Linked DNA regions of Caenorhabditis elegans. The protein of the gene in region 2 interacts with the protein of the main gene of each other region in a pairwise test. Each region holds a gene or a part of one and is shown on either strand. Other genes may lie near its edges. The genes, in order: unc-116, F33D11.10 and ZC434.8.

Region 1 (6,550 bases), on a different chromosome or scaffold from region 2:
TTTTCAGAAACATATTACTTAATTGAAACCTATAGGTTATAACTTGAAAAATGATAAACAGAAAATTAACGGAACGGGTTACTGTACCACTTAAAGGGGCATATATTGTTATTTAAGGGTCCAACAAACCTTGGTGCACTGACGAACGACTTGTGCGGCGATTTGTGAATAACGGACGTAGTTGAGTCCAGCAGCTCTCCAGGCGACCATTTTTGATTTTGGGGGAAAGTTATTTAACCTTAATTTATACTATAAAATAATAAAATTTTCAGAAAAAGGAAGTAAATTGAAAGGTATGGAGAACAACCTTTAGACTAGAGAAATCTGTAAAATAAAAAATAAAAACTTTATACAGTCAAAGTTCAACAGGAAACTTGATAATATTCGAAAGTTACTGAATAATAATTAGTTGGTCCAAAATGGAAACAAAACTATCAATAAATATTTAATTACATTAAACTTATTTCTCATAGTTTTCAATGATATTCTCACTCCAGAACACTAATCAGTTAAGCTCATGCGTTTGTTGGTTATTCTTGCTCGTATGTTATTGTAAAATCTTGTTTAAAAAACAGCAAAACGTTTATTTAATAACAGAAAAAATAATAATTTTATTTACTGGAAGAGCAAAAGATACAAAAAAATGAATTACGCAATTGGGATGTGCGGGGATTTGGGGGCCGAATTGTGCAGAAACGAAACAAGTTGATTTCTTATGAAGAATGATAGGGGGATTTAGCAAGCAAGCTTTAAAGACACTCAAACGCATGCAAAAAACAATCATAGGAGTGTTGGTGGGTGACGGGGGGAAGAACCAGACAAAACCTCGTGTCAGATTAGTAAAACTGAAACAGGAAAATCGTATAGAAACAGACTATTAGAACAAAAAGGCGGAAAAAGGCAATTTGGGTGGGGGTGGAGGGAAGCTTTAAATACTTTTAGCTTTTGAAGTTTTGTATTCTACATGGAAGACGAGAAGCCAAGGAACGAAATGGGGAGACACAACCAACCAAATGAAGATATTTTTGTTGAAACTTCCAGAAGCCGCGTAATTGTATAAGTTACTAGATTTTAAAATAAACAGAAAAGCCCATCGAAAGTATATCACAAAGCCGGGAAAAGAAGAGAGATAGAGAAGCATTTGAATGTCAGTCTTCAGTGTATTGATTGGATCAAAGAAGACGATGAGTTGATGTTGTTGTTGGGAGACATTATGCTGAAAAACTTTGATTAGTGAAAAATGGACGGACAAAAGACTGTTAAATTTGATAATACGGTAGGAAGAAAAAGAAACACTCACTCTAATTCTAATTCATAGTATAATTACTTGTGAAAAATTACATGAGCACTAAAGAATTTTTAAAAAAATCTTAAATTTCTGCAATCAACTGTGAAATAGTCATTTTTGATGGTATCTGATTGCGAGATGTTGAAGGTGTAGATGTCTGACTAAACACACCGTTTGAGCCATTTGGAGCTCCTTGTGACATTCCTGCTGACGGAGACGTATACACTTGTCCTGGACGGATTGGCTTCACAATTTGTGGAGCATTCATTCGTCGCATGTTACGTTGTCGAACAGCTTCCTTGATTCGTTCAACTTCTTGTTGATACTTCTTTCGTTCTGCTTGACTACGTTGCTTCGAATCACGAAGAGCAGTTTCTAATATTTTGATGCGATCTTCACGACCACGAAGACGAGCTTCCATCTTTGGCAGTTCAACGCGCAAATCGGCATTGTCGCGAACAAGCTGAAAATTCAAGTTTTAAGATAATCAAAATGAGAATAAAAACGACAAACCTGCTTGTGAACCTTCGTCAACTTGTCCAAATTGTTCTCCAAGAACTGAATTCGTTGCTTTTGAGCTGGTCCACTGAGAGAATCTTCTCCCTCGGTGTCTTGATTGGCTTGGCATCGAGCAACAAGTACTCTCATGAACTCCTTTTTCAAATTCTTCAACGTTGTAAGCTCCATATTGACACGATCTGTTAGTGGCTTGATCTCCTTTGCCGCCTGATCCTTCACCAGCAATTGTTTCATTCTACCCGCGTCTTGACCAGATTCAACACGAGCAACATCAGCTGCAAGTTTCGCTTCAGCATCATGCTCGGCAGCTGTACTGCTCTCTTTCGCAGCAGAGTATTCTGAGAAGAGTTTTGAAACTCCGATTCTGACATGGTTCAGAAGATCGTGATCAGGAAGTTGATCATTTTGAGAGGCAATGTCAGCAATGTTGAATTCACGAATAACATTGTAGATTCCTTCTTTGAAATGACGGATTTTTGGACCACATTCGTCAAGATGAGCATTGAGGAGTGATGTTGCTTGGTTCATTCGATCTTCCAAACTCTGGTTATCTTCTTGAACAACTTCCAACTCTCTCTTCAATTTTTCGCATTCTGCTTGTCGAACATCCAAGTTGACAGCAATCTCTTCCAGAGCTGTCATCATTTCCTTTCCTTCTTGCTGCTTGTCTTCAGCTTCTTTTTGGAATCGGTTGTTCTCTTCACGGATCAGCTCCTCGTTTTCACGCATAGTTCCCAAAGCTTCTTCTTGGAGAAGAACTTGTTGTCTAAGCTTCTCAAGCTCTTGCGAAACTTTTTGAATCTCATCATCTTTCTCGTCGAGTTGCTGATACAGTTTGACACGTTCCTCTTCGTACTTCTTCTTCTCTTCGTCAGTGATCGGGCCAGTTGTAGAAGTTAGCATTGGAGGAGCTGGAGCAATCGAACGTTCCATGAGTGGAGTCGACCCACCAGAAACTTCCGACACAGCCATTTGAGCAGAATCTGATAGATTGACCCATTCAACCTCAGACACTGATTCTCCAGCACGCCAGCGTGAAAGTTCCAAAGCCGCTGCCTGGAGAAGGGCGGCCAATCGAGTATTCTTCTCTTTTTCTTTCTCATATCGCCGTTTCCATTCTTCTGCTGTGAGCTCTTCGTTGATTTGTACAACATTCTTGATAGTCTTCGCACGTGCTCCGAACAAAAGTGTGGATTTAGTTTCAGCTTCGTTGAAATGTGACGGAGAAGCACAAATAATAACTGTAGTACGGGAATTTCCTCCTAGAGATTCTTGAAGAATACGAGTCAGTTTGGAATCACGATATGGAACATGAGATTTCTGAAATAAATATTCGTTTTAAGAAGGTCATAATTTAAACAACTCACAGTTCCTTCAGCCAATGCTGAAATAACTATTCCGAGTGCAGTAAGTGACTTGTTGATGTTTTTGGCTTCTTCTAAAACTGTTCCTTGAGCTCCAGTTTTGCTCACTTTCTCAGAACCAGCCAAATCAACAAGATAAAGCTTTCCGGTGAGCTGTTTCTTTGTTGTCTGATGTTCTTGTTTCACAGTAATCAAGAAGACGGAATGAGATCGAGAAGAATGTTCGTTCATGTCTGAAATTTCGTTCACATGTTAATTTGTTTAATTTTAAGTTTACTCACTCGTAACTGCAACCATTCTGTTGGATTTTCCATCTTCGATTGCCTGAAGAACCTCATCGGGTCCTCCAACAAACCGTTCGGTGGCTCCCTTCACGTATGGCACTCGATTTTTATCTTCATGAATGGACAAATTGACCTTCTCGGGGTCTAATAAATCTCGAATCTTCTCGTTGTAAATTTCATAATAGGACACTTTGATGTGAAATTGAAGATTCTCGTCCATACTATAAATGTGGTTAAAGATGTCAGCAACGATACGTGGAATGATTCCCGACAAGCCATTATCACCGATTACTCCCTGTAAAAAATATGAAAATAATTAAATTATATTGTTAATTTCATCGAGCGCCGAATATTTTAAACGTAAAAATTATCAAAAATCTTTCGGGCATTCGATTTCGGAAATAACTGCTGAAAATTAGTTCTCAAACTTTTCTTTTCATTAATCAGTAAAGATTTGCACTGTTGATATTACAACTTGATTGTCTTTGTCGCATTCTACGTAATTATCAAGGTTTTCATAATTCCTACCTCCATTGTATGTGTTTTTCCGGAAGATGTTTGTCCATATGCAAAAACTGTTCCATTATAACCGGATAATACATCCTGTACGATGTGATAAGCGGCTCCTTTGTACACTTGCTCTTGCGTGGTGTTCGGCTTGAACACTTTATCGAACACGTATACTTTTCCCTGAAAAATTCCAACAAATCAATCGATATATATATATATATTCAACTTTGCACTTTTCGTGTACTTTTCAAACAGATGAATGTGTCATGTGAGAGAATTGACACACCTGCATCCCCCGTGCTTCCCGTCCCTGTTGACATAATTGTTCCCTATGACCCCTTTGTATTACTCACCCCAAGCGATATACTGTCCTCGGAAGGGAATTTGGGCAGGAAACGGTCCGCATTCTTCTCCTCGGTCTTATTGAGCGGCCGAATACGACAAAATACCTGAAAACAATATGAAATTGGAAAATCTAGGCGGGGAAAATTAATACCTGGACACCGCATTCTGCTCCGTCTGTCCGCGGCTCCATTTTCAGAGAATAATGATCACCAGTTGGCGGTTTGTAACGGCGCCTATCGTATTAATTACCCGGCTTCTCCTTACAATGCCTGCAATAAGTATAATCAATATGCTGAGTAGAGAACAAGAAAAGATGACGAGATGCAAGAGAAATAGAGAAAGGAGGAAACGGCAAAACATTGCGAAATTTCGGAATATTTCATCACTCGTCTCGTGCGCGATGCACAGAAGCTGCGAGTTTTGTTTGATTGGGCGGCTTTGACAAAAAATAAACTAAAGGCTCATAGATTATGGATAGACAACGGAATGATAACAAAATAACAAAAACTGCAACGTTTGTACTGAATATTCAAAATTTTCACACAGAAAATAGAGAAATAGAAAAAGACTGGCGTCGATCAAACGTGGCACACACAAATTTCACAAATTTATGCATTTTTGGTTAAATTGTTCGAAAAATGAGTTCGGAAAATGTTTTATAATTGAAATAATAGCTTCAAAACAACAGGAAACTTCTGGAAACAATAAAAGTTTTTCCCGCGCGGAAAAATGTTTTAGTTGGCAATTTGTCGTGAAATCTTGGGTTTTTCGAATTACGTACGTTTGCCTATCGTATTTTCGGTCAGATTAATTTTTAATTTCAGTTTTCTTTTTTTTTTCAGCAATGCTTATTTAATTACTTATTTATATTTGACATTTTATGTATATGCGCGAGAATTAAAAATTAAAAACAACTTGCAAAATCTCGTACATTTTCAAAATTTTATACTATAAAATTAACACCATCCAGCAGTGCTCAGTAAACCCGTTCATAATATACCCAGATTTAAACCAAATTAAAACCGTACAAGCCTATATTGTGAATTTATCTGCACAAATTTGGTTTGGATCTACACAAAATCGATTTGGAAATACACAAACCTACACAAATTCAGTTTACATCTACTCAAACTTGCAATCTATGCAAATTAAGTTTGGATCTAGACAATCTTGGTTTACATCTGCCCAAAATTAGAATTTTTCATAATATAGGCTTGTACGGTTTTAATTTGGTTTAAATCTGGGTATATTCTGAACGGGTTTACTGAGTGACAAGAAAGACAAAGTGAAACTGAAATCGCAAATCCAAAAACTAACATTTCTCCACGATACTTGTCTCTTAACTTTTCGGAATGAATATTAGCTTCAATATTATGCAATAACATATGGATAAATGCGGTTTTAAATAAATTTCATAGATAAATACACAAACTAAACAAGATGAGGATATCCGAGGGCAAATAAGGAGACTCAAACCAAATATGGTCATCAAATTGACAATGAGTAATGGCCAATACGACACGATACGGCAGATGGTGAAGGAAGGCGGGGGAGACCGATTCGGATGCGAAAAAGAACGATAAGAGAGAAAAGACACTGCAGGTGGGAGTATTGTGTTCAGTAGATTTTCGTGGTGGGACCTAGAGGATGGTCGGTGCAAAAGCTTCATTGAAAAAGAGTGAAACGAGAGGAGAGACACACTCACAACATTCATTCGTTTGGCGGGAAAAGAGACGAGGGAAGACTTTAGTATTGGGTGGTAGAAAGAGTTGGAGAAAGAAATTCGAAGGGATACAAGGAATGTATTGGCATCGTGAAGAGACACAGAGATACATCCGTGGTTCCCTGTGTTCTCTTCATTTTGTATAATGTTTTATTCTCGGTCAGAGGGACAACGGACGGCCTCTTCAAACACTCACAGAACATTCGCTCACTGCGCTCACTAGTAGAGAATAAAGGAAGTTACGAGAGAATGAAACTTCGAAGATAAATCAATTTTATTTTTTAAAATCAATGTTCGTAAACTTCGAATTAAGTGAAACCGTAATTTGAGATATATGAGTTTTGTTTGATCATCACAGCTACCATTTTCTCGGTCCATAGCCACATTGAGACAATGGATCTGATTCTGGTGGTTGATGATATAGTGGTGCATATCCTGCTGCTGCAGATGGATCATAGTGATTTGATGAAGCAGATGATGAGGCATGTACAGAAGTTACGGGACGTGACGGCGTTAG
Region 2 (3,863 bases):
ATTGTTCAACACAGTCTCTTGTTACTTTTCTTACTCCGTTTTGATGACGATAGAGTGGGAGACAAGACGAGTGCGTTCGGTTTTTAGTTGACGAGAAAGGCAAAAGCTACGAGACGGCGGGTTGTTGTATTTGAGTTTTTGTGTCTAAGATAGAGGAAAATGATGCATCGTCTGAATTCAAAAATTTCCGTTTCAGATAGGAATTTAGAATACCAATCGTGTGTTCAAAAAGCGAGTGGTCTCTGAGTAAGTAATTCTCAATTTAAAGAGGCTGAAACTTCCTAAAAATCAAACATAAAATAATAAAAGAAAAATTTAATATTTAAAAACCCACAATGCAATGATATTCCACGTGAAGCCTTCGTAGAGTTGATTTTTTTCTGAAATGTTTTTTTTGTTAGTATAAATTCACGTGAATATCACGCCGAAAATTAGAAATTGGTTATTTTCCGATATTTTTGAATATTAGAGAAGTTTCTACTGGCTTACATAAAAATATTGAAAAGAAAATTAAGATCTCCATTTATTCAAATTACTGTTCAGATTTTTAAAAATCTCCGTTGGATAGTATTTGGGTCTTAGTATCATGAAGGATTCAAAGGAGATCTTTGTAGGATTAAAATAAAAGAAATAATTGATAAGGATTTTCAAAACAAAGAAAACAAAAACAAAATAAATTAAAACATGAGGTGAGCGAAAATATATCTTTCTTCAAATGATATCCGCAATATTCATGGGCATTTCGTCGATTTGTGTCGAATAGTATTGCTCAATGTCTCGCAGAATTCTGACATCATCTTGCTTCACAAAGTTGATGGCGACTCCCTTGCGTCCGAAACGTCCAGAACGACCAATACGATGAATGTATAATTCACGATTGTTTGGAAGATCATAGTTGATAACCTGAAAAAAGTTTTTACTGAATTGTCTATATTTCATGACAACTTTTTTTTGCTGGTTTTTTGCAAAACTAATCATTTTAATTTATTACAAATCGAGAAGAAACTAAAAAAAAATCTTACCAACGAGACTTGTGGAACATCTAATCCTCTCGCCCAAACATCAGTTGAAATGAGCACTCTCGTTGTTCCTGCTCTGAACTCTTTCATAACTTCATCACGATCCTTCTGTTCCATATCTCCGTGCATTGATGACACTGTGAAGTTGGCTTCCTTCATTTTATCCGTCAACCAATCAACCTTTCTACGGGTATTACAGAATAGTACAGCCTGTGTGATGGTAAGAGTATCATAAAGATCAATAAGAGTGTCGAACTTCCATTCTTCTCTGTCAACTGCAACGAAGAATTGCTTGATTCCTTCAAGTGTCAGTTCATCACGTTTCACAAGAATTCTGATAGGATCTGTCATGAATTTACTGGTCATCTCTAGAATTTCATGAGGCAGTGTGGCTGACAGAAGTACGACTTGTGCTCCAGGTGGAAGATATCGGTAGATATCGTACAACTGCTCCTTGAAACCTTTATTCAGCATTTCATCGGCTTCGTCAAGAACCAGAAGCTTGATCGCTCGGGTACGAAGATTACGACGGCGAATCATATCAAATACTCGTCCTGGAGTACCAGAAACCACGTGTTGACCGTAATCCAATTTGCGAATGTCTTCTCCGAGATTTGTTCCTCCGATACAGGCATGACATTGAACATTCATATAGTCTCCGAGAGCAAGAACTACCTGCAAAATGTGTTTTTTATTGCAACTCTGTATTTATTATATCCATACTTTTTGAATCTGGACAGCCAATTCTCTGGTTGGAGAAAGAATAAGTGCTTGTGTCTCTCGAACTTGTGTATCCAATGATTGAAGAACGGAAATTGAAAAAGTCGCAGTCTTTCCGGTTCCAGATTGAGCTTGAGCAATGACGTCACGTGCTTTAAGAATTGCTGGAACTGCTCTTTGTTGAATAGCCGATGGTTTTTCGAATCCATAGGCATAAATTCCACGAAGAAGGTCTTCTCGCAAACCCATTTTGTCAAATGTTGGAATAACATTTACTTCTTCAGAAGATTCGAATTCCACTGTTGCCATATCATCTTTTTCTGCTTTTTTACCAGCCATTTTGGAAAATCTGAAAAAAGATTAATTTTAAACATCACTCGAGTGACATTTTATTGTCGAGTCGCGTAAATTTCCAGGTAAATACTCCGAGATAATACGGCGAAAAAATTCAAAAATAAAAATAGTTATTGGAAACCATAAACATCAAATTTTATTGTACCATATACAAATCATGTGACTTAAATTGGTTGTTTCAAAGAGCATGGGGCTTTCTTAAAATCCATGGAGTCCTATATCAATCAATGGTTGTACACATAAAATAAATGAGAAAAGGTTGGGGGAACGGGGAACCATAGAATGGAAAATAAATAAATAAAATTCTTGATAATGGCTACCGGGTATGATGATAGGCAGTCACTAGACGGATCTATGATGGTCTAGAAGACGCCGGGAAAAACGGAAAACGAATAAACAAAGGAAAGAAGTGAAAGTAGTTTGAGAAAAAGTTTGAAATTTTTGCGCGCTGCGTTCACTAAAGAGGCAAGTATTCAAAATTTCAAAAAACCGAAAAGTTAAATATGTCAATTTACATTGCAGAAAATAACATTTTGATTTTTGAAATATTCAGAATTTCGCCCTTGGCAGAGAAAAAGTTAGAAAATTTAGGATTTGAAGGTTAAATTTGATGAAAATCCGAATGGAGCAATGCTTGTGTGTTTTAATGTTTGTGGCAGCAAAAAAGCACGTGAATGATAGTACCACTAGTTACTTAAAAGTGAAAATGAAGGAAGAATTGATTCAGAATTTAGAAAAGACGGCCAACAATAAGCCCGATGAGCAAAGCGGCAACCGCAATAAGGAAAATTTGCAATGTTGGGTATGCACCGTCGACAAGAGCTCCATCAGAATGCGATTGTTGAAGCTTGCGGTTCTTCTGAAAATATTTTTTGTAGAAAATTGAACACATATTTTTTTTTCCAAAGTGTAATTAATTTTTTCAAATTTCTTTTCTGATATTACCTTGAGCATGACTTCGATTTCTTGTTCCAATCCATGTACTTTCTTTTGCAATTCTTCTTTCTCGTCAACTGTCGATTTCAACGATTTGCGAAGGGAGTTAACGGTTCCATCATGCGATGGTGTTCCAGAGTACGAACTTCCGAGCTCTCTGCAAATATTAGTTTTTTATTGAATGAAGTTTATGAAGGAAACAATAATTGTTAACCTTCTTTTAACCTCCATTATAAGTAAAAACTCACTGTGCCTGTCCAGAAGAAGCAAAACTATCCTCGTTCCTAACCGCAAAGGTTTTTGTATCATCTCCAGACGCTGGATCTCTCTTGTCAACGAAGGTGACCATAAGCTTGCTGTAGGTCAGCTCCGCTGGATCGATTATTTTCCAGACCGATTCCAAATCTGGCAGATCTTCCGAAGGCGCCACACACGATTGAACCATAAACTTATGTCGTCCTGCATCAGATGGAATTCCTTCCAGAGGTTGAAGCATTACTGTGATTTGTTTCGAGTCACCAGATTTCAGGAGGCCTAAAAAATCAAAATCAGAAGGTCAAAGTAAACTTCAGTTTTAAAAATCAACCAGTCTAACAGATAAGGTCTAAATACAAATCATATTTTTCTTTTTGCGTTTAATTTCACTTTTTCCATATCAAATTGATTTCAATGCAAATAAATCCATCACTCACCAGAATTTGGACGAACACAATATTGCTTTGGAGCCGTTGTTTTCACTTTGAAGCACACTGGATTGGTTGATGTGTTCTTGAGAGTCATGTGTGATGTGACAACATCACTGAATGGGCCAGTGAACACGAGTTCACGATTTGG
Region 3 (3,703 bases), 4.5 Mb from region 2:
TGCATTGAATTTCGGTTATGGAGTGGATCCGAAAGAATGGGATGATATTTCCAGCAAATTCGAGCATGTATTCTTTGCAACTAGACGGATATCAAACCAAAAACTACGGAAAGAAGTGATGGAAAGATATAATGGAAATGCTCTGTTTTGTGATAAATTGTGAGTTTTCAAAGATCTGGCTTTTGGTTTTAGTTCCATTTTTGAAAATCAATTTTTTCAGGTCCACAGATGACCTCATAATAATTCGAATGGCTCTAGAATTCGGTCCGGAGACGTCAATTGTTACAAATGATAAATATACTGATCATCGTTCAGCAATCTGTAATGGTGATCAAAAGTTGGAGAAAATTTTCGACGATTTTCTCACTGATGCATCACATCGACACTTCCATGGCCGAATCGAGACGAGACGGAATTTCAATATTCGAATTCGTAATCCGGATAATAGAATATGGATACTGCCCGTTATGAACTCAGAAGGAAAGCTGTCGAGAAACATTAAACGTTATAAAGTTGAAGTTTTTAGAAATAGTTGATATACGTGTTTCTAATTGTGTATTGTTTTTGTCATGTAATAAACACACTATTCATGATCCTCGATTTAATTTTTTTTGACTTTGAAAAGAATATAAAACTATCTACTAAAATTTATTCCAAATCAGAAATTGAAAGTGATCTTCTTAGGCGGCGGCCTTCTCCAATTCAATCAACTTCTTCAATCCATCGTACATCTGACGAACTGCTTGATACTCGGTAAGCCCAAGACGCTGCTTGTTCGAGATGTCATAGATTCCTTCCTTCGATTCCGAATGTTCTCCATGAATTCCACGAATCTGAAAATTATAATTTGAAAACTGAAATAAAACTTTAAAAATACCTGAAGCTTCATGTCACTGCAAATCTTCTTGAAATCGTCCTTTGCCGAGATCTTTGGCAGCTTAATGTGAACCGATGCACGAACAGTTGTTCCCAAGTTGGTTGGACAGAAGGTGAGCCATCCGAGACGTGGATGACGAGCGAATGGAGCCTTGGCAGCGACGAGGTTCAGTCCTTTGATGAGTCTGGCGAGAACTTCACCAACATTTCCTCCATTTTGCATAGAGATGATACGCAAGTGATCCTCCTCGTTGACCCAAACCAAGAAAGTCTTCTTCTCATTGTGGAAGATTCCACGTCCGTTTGGCCAATAACGGTTGGCATTGGCAGCCTTCAAGAAGCGATCACCTTCTTTGAAGAGGAAGTGATCAGCAATGAGCTTCTTCTTCGTCTCCTCATCCATTCCAGTCAGAGGGTAGTACGTTCCCTTGAGCTCGGGATCGGTGATGCTGTTGAAGATCTCCTTCATACGGGTTTCCATCATCTTGTAGTTGGTCTCAGAGAGACATGGATTGAATGGGTATCCTTGCAGAGAACGTCCGCAGCGGATACGTGTCGACACAATGAATTTGCCCTCTGGGTCGAGATCGGCAAGTTCTCCAACCTAAAATGTACAAAATAGAATTAAAAACAATTAAAAAGTAATTACATTTTTCTCTCCCAAATCCATTGCTGGTTGAGTGTCGGTTGCCTTGAATCCATTGTGGTACTCTTCGATCACAGGATTGAAAAGATCCGCGAACAAGGTGTAGCTCTCCGCGTCTGGAGCATAGATTCCGACTCCCGAATCGAGGTTCTCTCCGCCCGACTGAATGACATCCAAAAGAGTTGCTCCGAGACGGGTCTTCTTCGACTTGTTCTTGGCGACAACGTCCTTTGTCAAGTGCTTCTTGAGAAGTGACGAGCAGTCAGAAGCTCCTTGGAGTTTCGTGTAGACCTGGAAACAAAAACAAACGTTAAGAACTTGAAAACTTAAGAAAACTCACTTCTTCAATCGATTTCTGAACTTCCGGGGTCGCTGTCATATTCGATGATGAAACGTGTAACAGGCGGTTCGTTCTTTGAAGAGCTGAAGCTGTTAGACTGATGATTTTTGGAAACGAAGCCCTTTTATACAGACGATAATGTGGCAGAACGTGGGACCGTGACATTCTATATAATACAGTGAAAATGTATTTTGAAAGTTCAAATTACATCGGAGTTCTTAAAAAAAAACTTCACGTATTCATAATTAAACATATTTTTGGGGTATAGCCCGCTATAGCGCCAGTGGGGAAATTGGTTTAAAGCACGCCTATGATACAATTTTTTGAAAGTCGATAAAATCTCAGTTTTTTCTTAATTAAATGTTCGGAAGAAAAAAGAAAAAAAAACAAGTTAAATGCAATTTTCAATAAAAAAAACGGTAAACTGTAAAACAAACTACTTTCAGATTCGTCGTCACCGGAACGTATAATTTTACACTTGCACGCGTTTTCAGTTAACTTTTAATGATCAATTTGCATTTAACCTGCTTTTTTCTTTTATTTTCAGAAAAGAATATACAAAAAATGAAAAATTCAAAGAAATAATGAGAGAAAAAGTAAATAAATGATGAAATGAAAATAATGCAAGCGCGCTCTATCGAACAAACAGTTTGGCGGCAGGTTCAATTTAATTGTCAAAAACTGATATTTTTCTGAGATCAATTTTTAATAGATCATATGCAATTAAGAAAAAATTGTTGAATTAAAAAAAAAATACTCGGTCATTGTATACAATGGTACTACAATTGTAGTACCATATGCGTGTATTACAGAAATTTTCCCACTGGCACTGGCGCTGGATAGGGCTACTTCAGATTTTTTGTTGGTATACTTATGTGTTTTTCATAAATTAAAAAATTACACAGCAACTTTTCAAAGTTTATATAAAAAATATCCCCAAATGTCTAATCCGTGACGTTCCAAAATTAGACCCGCCCACATCTTGAATTTTGTCAAAAGCTTTTTGGTATAGGTGCGTTTCTTTTTATTATCTTGAATTTTCAAACTATTTTTAAAACAATATTTTCTTCCAATCAATTTTTATTCCCACACCTTCTTTACCAAGCCATCCTACGTAATCTGTTTCTTCAGATTAAAATCTAGCACTTTATTCTTCTATTTGGTTTTTTCAGTTGCGAGATTTCCGAGAATTGCCCAATTGGGAAATGATGTATGAAAGTTTTTTCAAAGGAAAACATTATAAAGGACTGCATAAATTATTTAGAAGAAACAAGGGAACCACACCCACTAAACGAAATGCCCCGTGGGCAATCAAGAGAGTTTTCTCACACATTCTTATGTTTTGGAATATTCAAAGTGGTCCGGGGTTTATCTTCATAGCAACTTATCTTCATGTGTCTAATATTAACTACAAACGGTTTCAGAATTAAATTGTTTAATGGAGAAGGGTGCCAACCAATCAGCGACGCGCTAAAAACGTTTATTGGTAGAAATTTATTTTGCGCGCGTATTTAAAAATTTTTCTAGCCCTGGCTTTTGTATTTTGAAAAGCCCTTTCCATGAGTTTAAAATAGCCTACTTTCCTCTAGAAACACTGCTTAATGTTCAAATTACGTAACTTACCGTAATCCAGTTCTTCCAGAAGACTATAGAAAAGTGTTTGGAACGGTTGAAACCTGTCACTTTTTCTTATCATTTCACACATTCACAATTTCTTCCATCATTTCCCCGGACTTTCTCTTCTTTAGGATACTATCCTTCTCCTTAACCCAATAACTTCTCCTTTTTTCCAGTCTCCCATTTTTCCGTTATCCGTATTCTTTCCCTTTCTTATCTTTTTG

Evidence for each region.
Region 1: the proteins of F33D11.10 (region 2) and unc-116 interact in a two-hybrid assay, tested with the Caenorhabditis elegans proteins (one large-scale study listed by BioGRID).
Region 3: the proteins of F33D11.10 (region 2) and ZC434.8 interact in a two-hybrid assay, tested with the Caenorhabditis elegans proteins (one large-scale study listed by BioGRID).

What each region holds. Positions count from the first base shown.
Region 1 is NC_003281.10:8,350,596-8,357,145, forward strand, and holds unc-116 (Kinesin heavy chain), read right to left. Parts: upstream 4,580-6,550; 5' UTR 4,501-4,579; coding exon 4,462-4,500; intron 4,415-4,461; coding exon 4,319-4,414; intron 4,146-4,318; coding exon 3,984-4,145; intron 3,751-3,983; coding exon 3,453-3,750; intron 3,405-3,452; coding exon 3,175-3,404; intron 3,128-3,174; coding exon 1,802-3,127; intron 1,752-1,801; coding exon 1,460-1,751; intron 1,217-1,459; coding exon 1,212-1,216; 3' UTR 569-1,211; downstream 1-568. Other genes in the region: R05D3.6 (Putative ATP synthase subunit epsilon, mitochondrial), read right to left, coding at 130-210; Putative RNA-binding protein R05D3.8, read right to left, coding at 6,392-6,550. UniProt on the Caenorhabditis elegans protein: Microtubule-dependent motor protein required for organelle transport. Plays a role in endosome transport. Required for the transport of mitochondria along the axon of motor neurons. Involved in the nuclear migration of hyp7 hypodermal precursor cells.
Region 2 is NC_003279.8:5,866,052-5,869,914, forward strand, and holds F33D11.10 (RNA helicase), read right to left. Parts: upstream 2,089-3,863; 5' UTR 2,079-2,088; coding exon 1,743-2,078; intron 1,695-1,742; coding exon 1,023-1,694; intron 904-1,022; coding exon 712-903; 3' UTR 511-711; downstream 1-510. Other genes in the region: vpr-1 (Major sperm protein), read right to left, coding at 2,824-2,952, 3,039-3,186, 3,278-3,563, 3,722-3,863.
Region 3 is NC_003279.8:10,347,419-10,351,121, forward strand, and holds ZC434.8 (putative arginine kinase ZC434.8), read right to left. Parts: upstream 1,952-3,703; 5' UTR 1,902-1,951; coding exon 1,863-1,901; intron 1,814-1,862; coding exon 1,526-1,813; intron 1,481-1,525; coding exon 878-1,480; intron 834-877; coding exon 681-833; 3' UTR 637-680; downstream 1-636. Other genes in the region: coa-6 (PRORP domain-containing protein), read left to right, coding at 1-159, 221-536.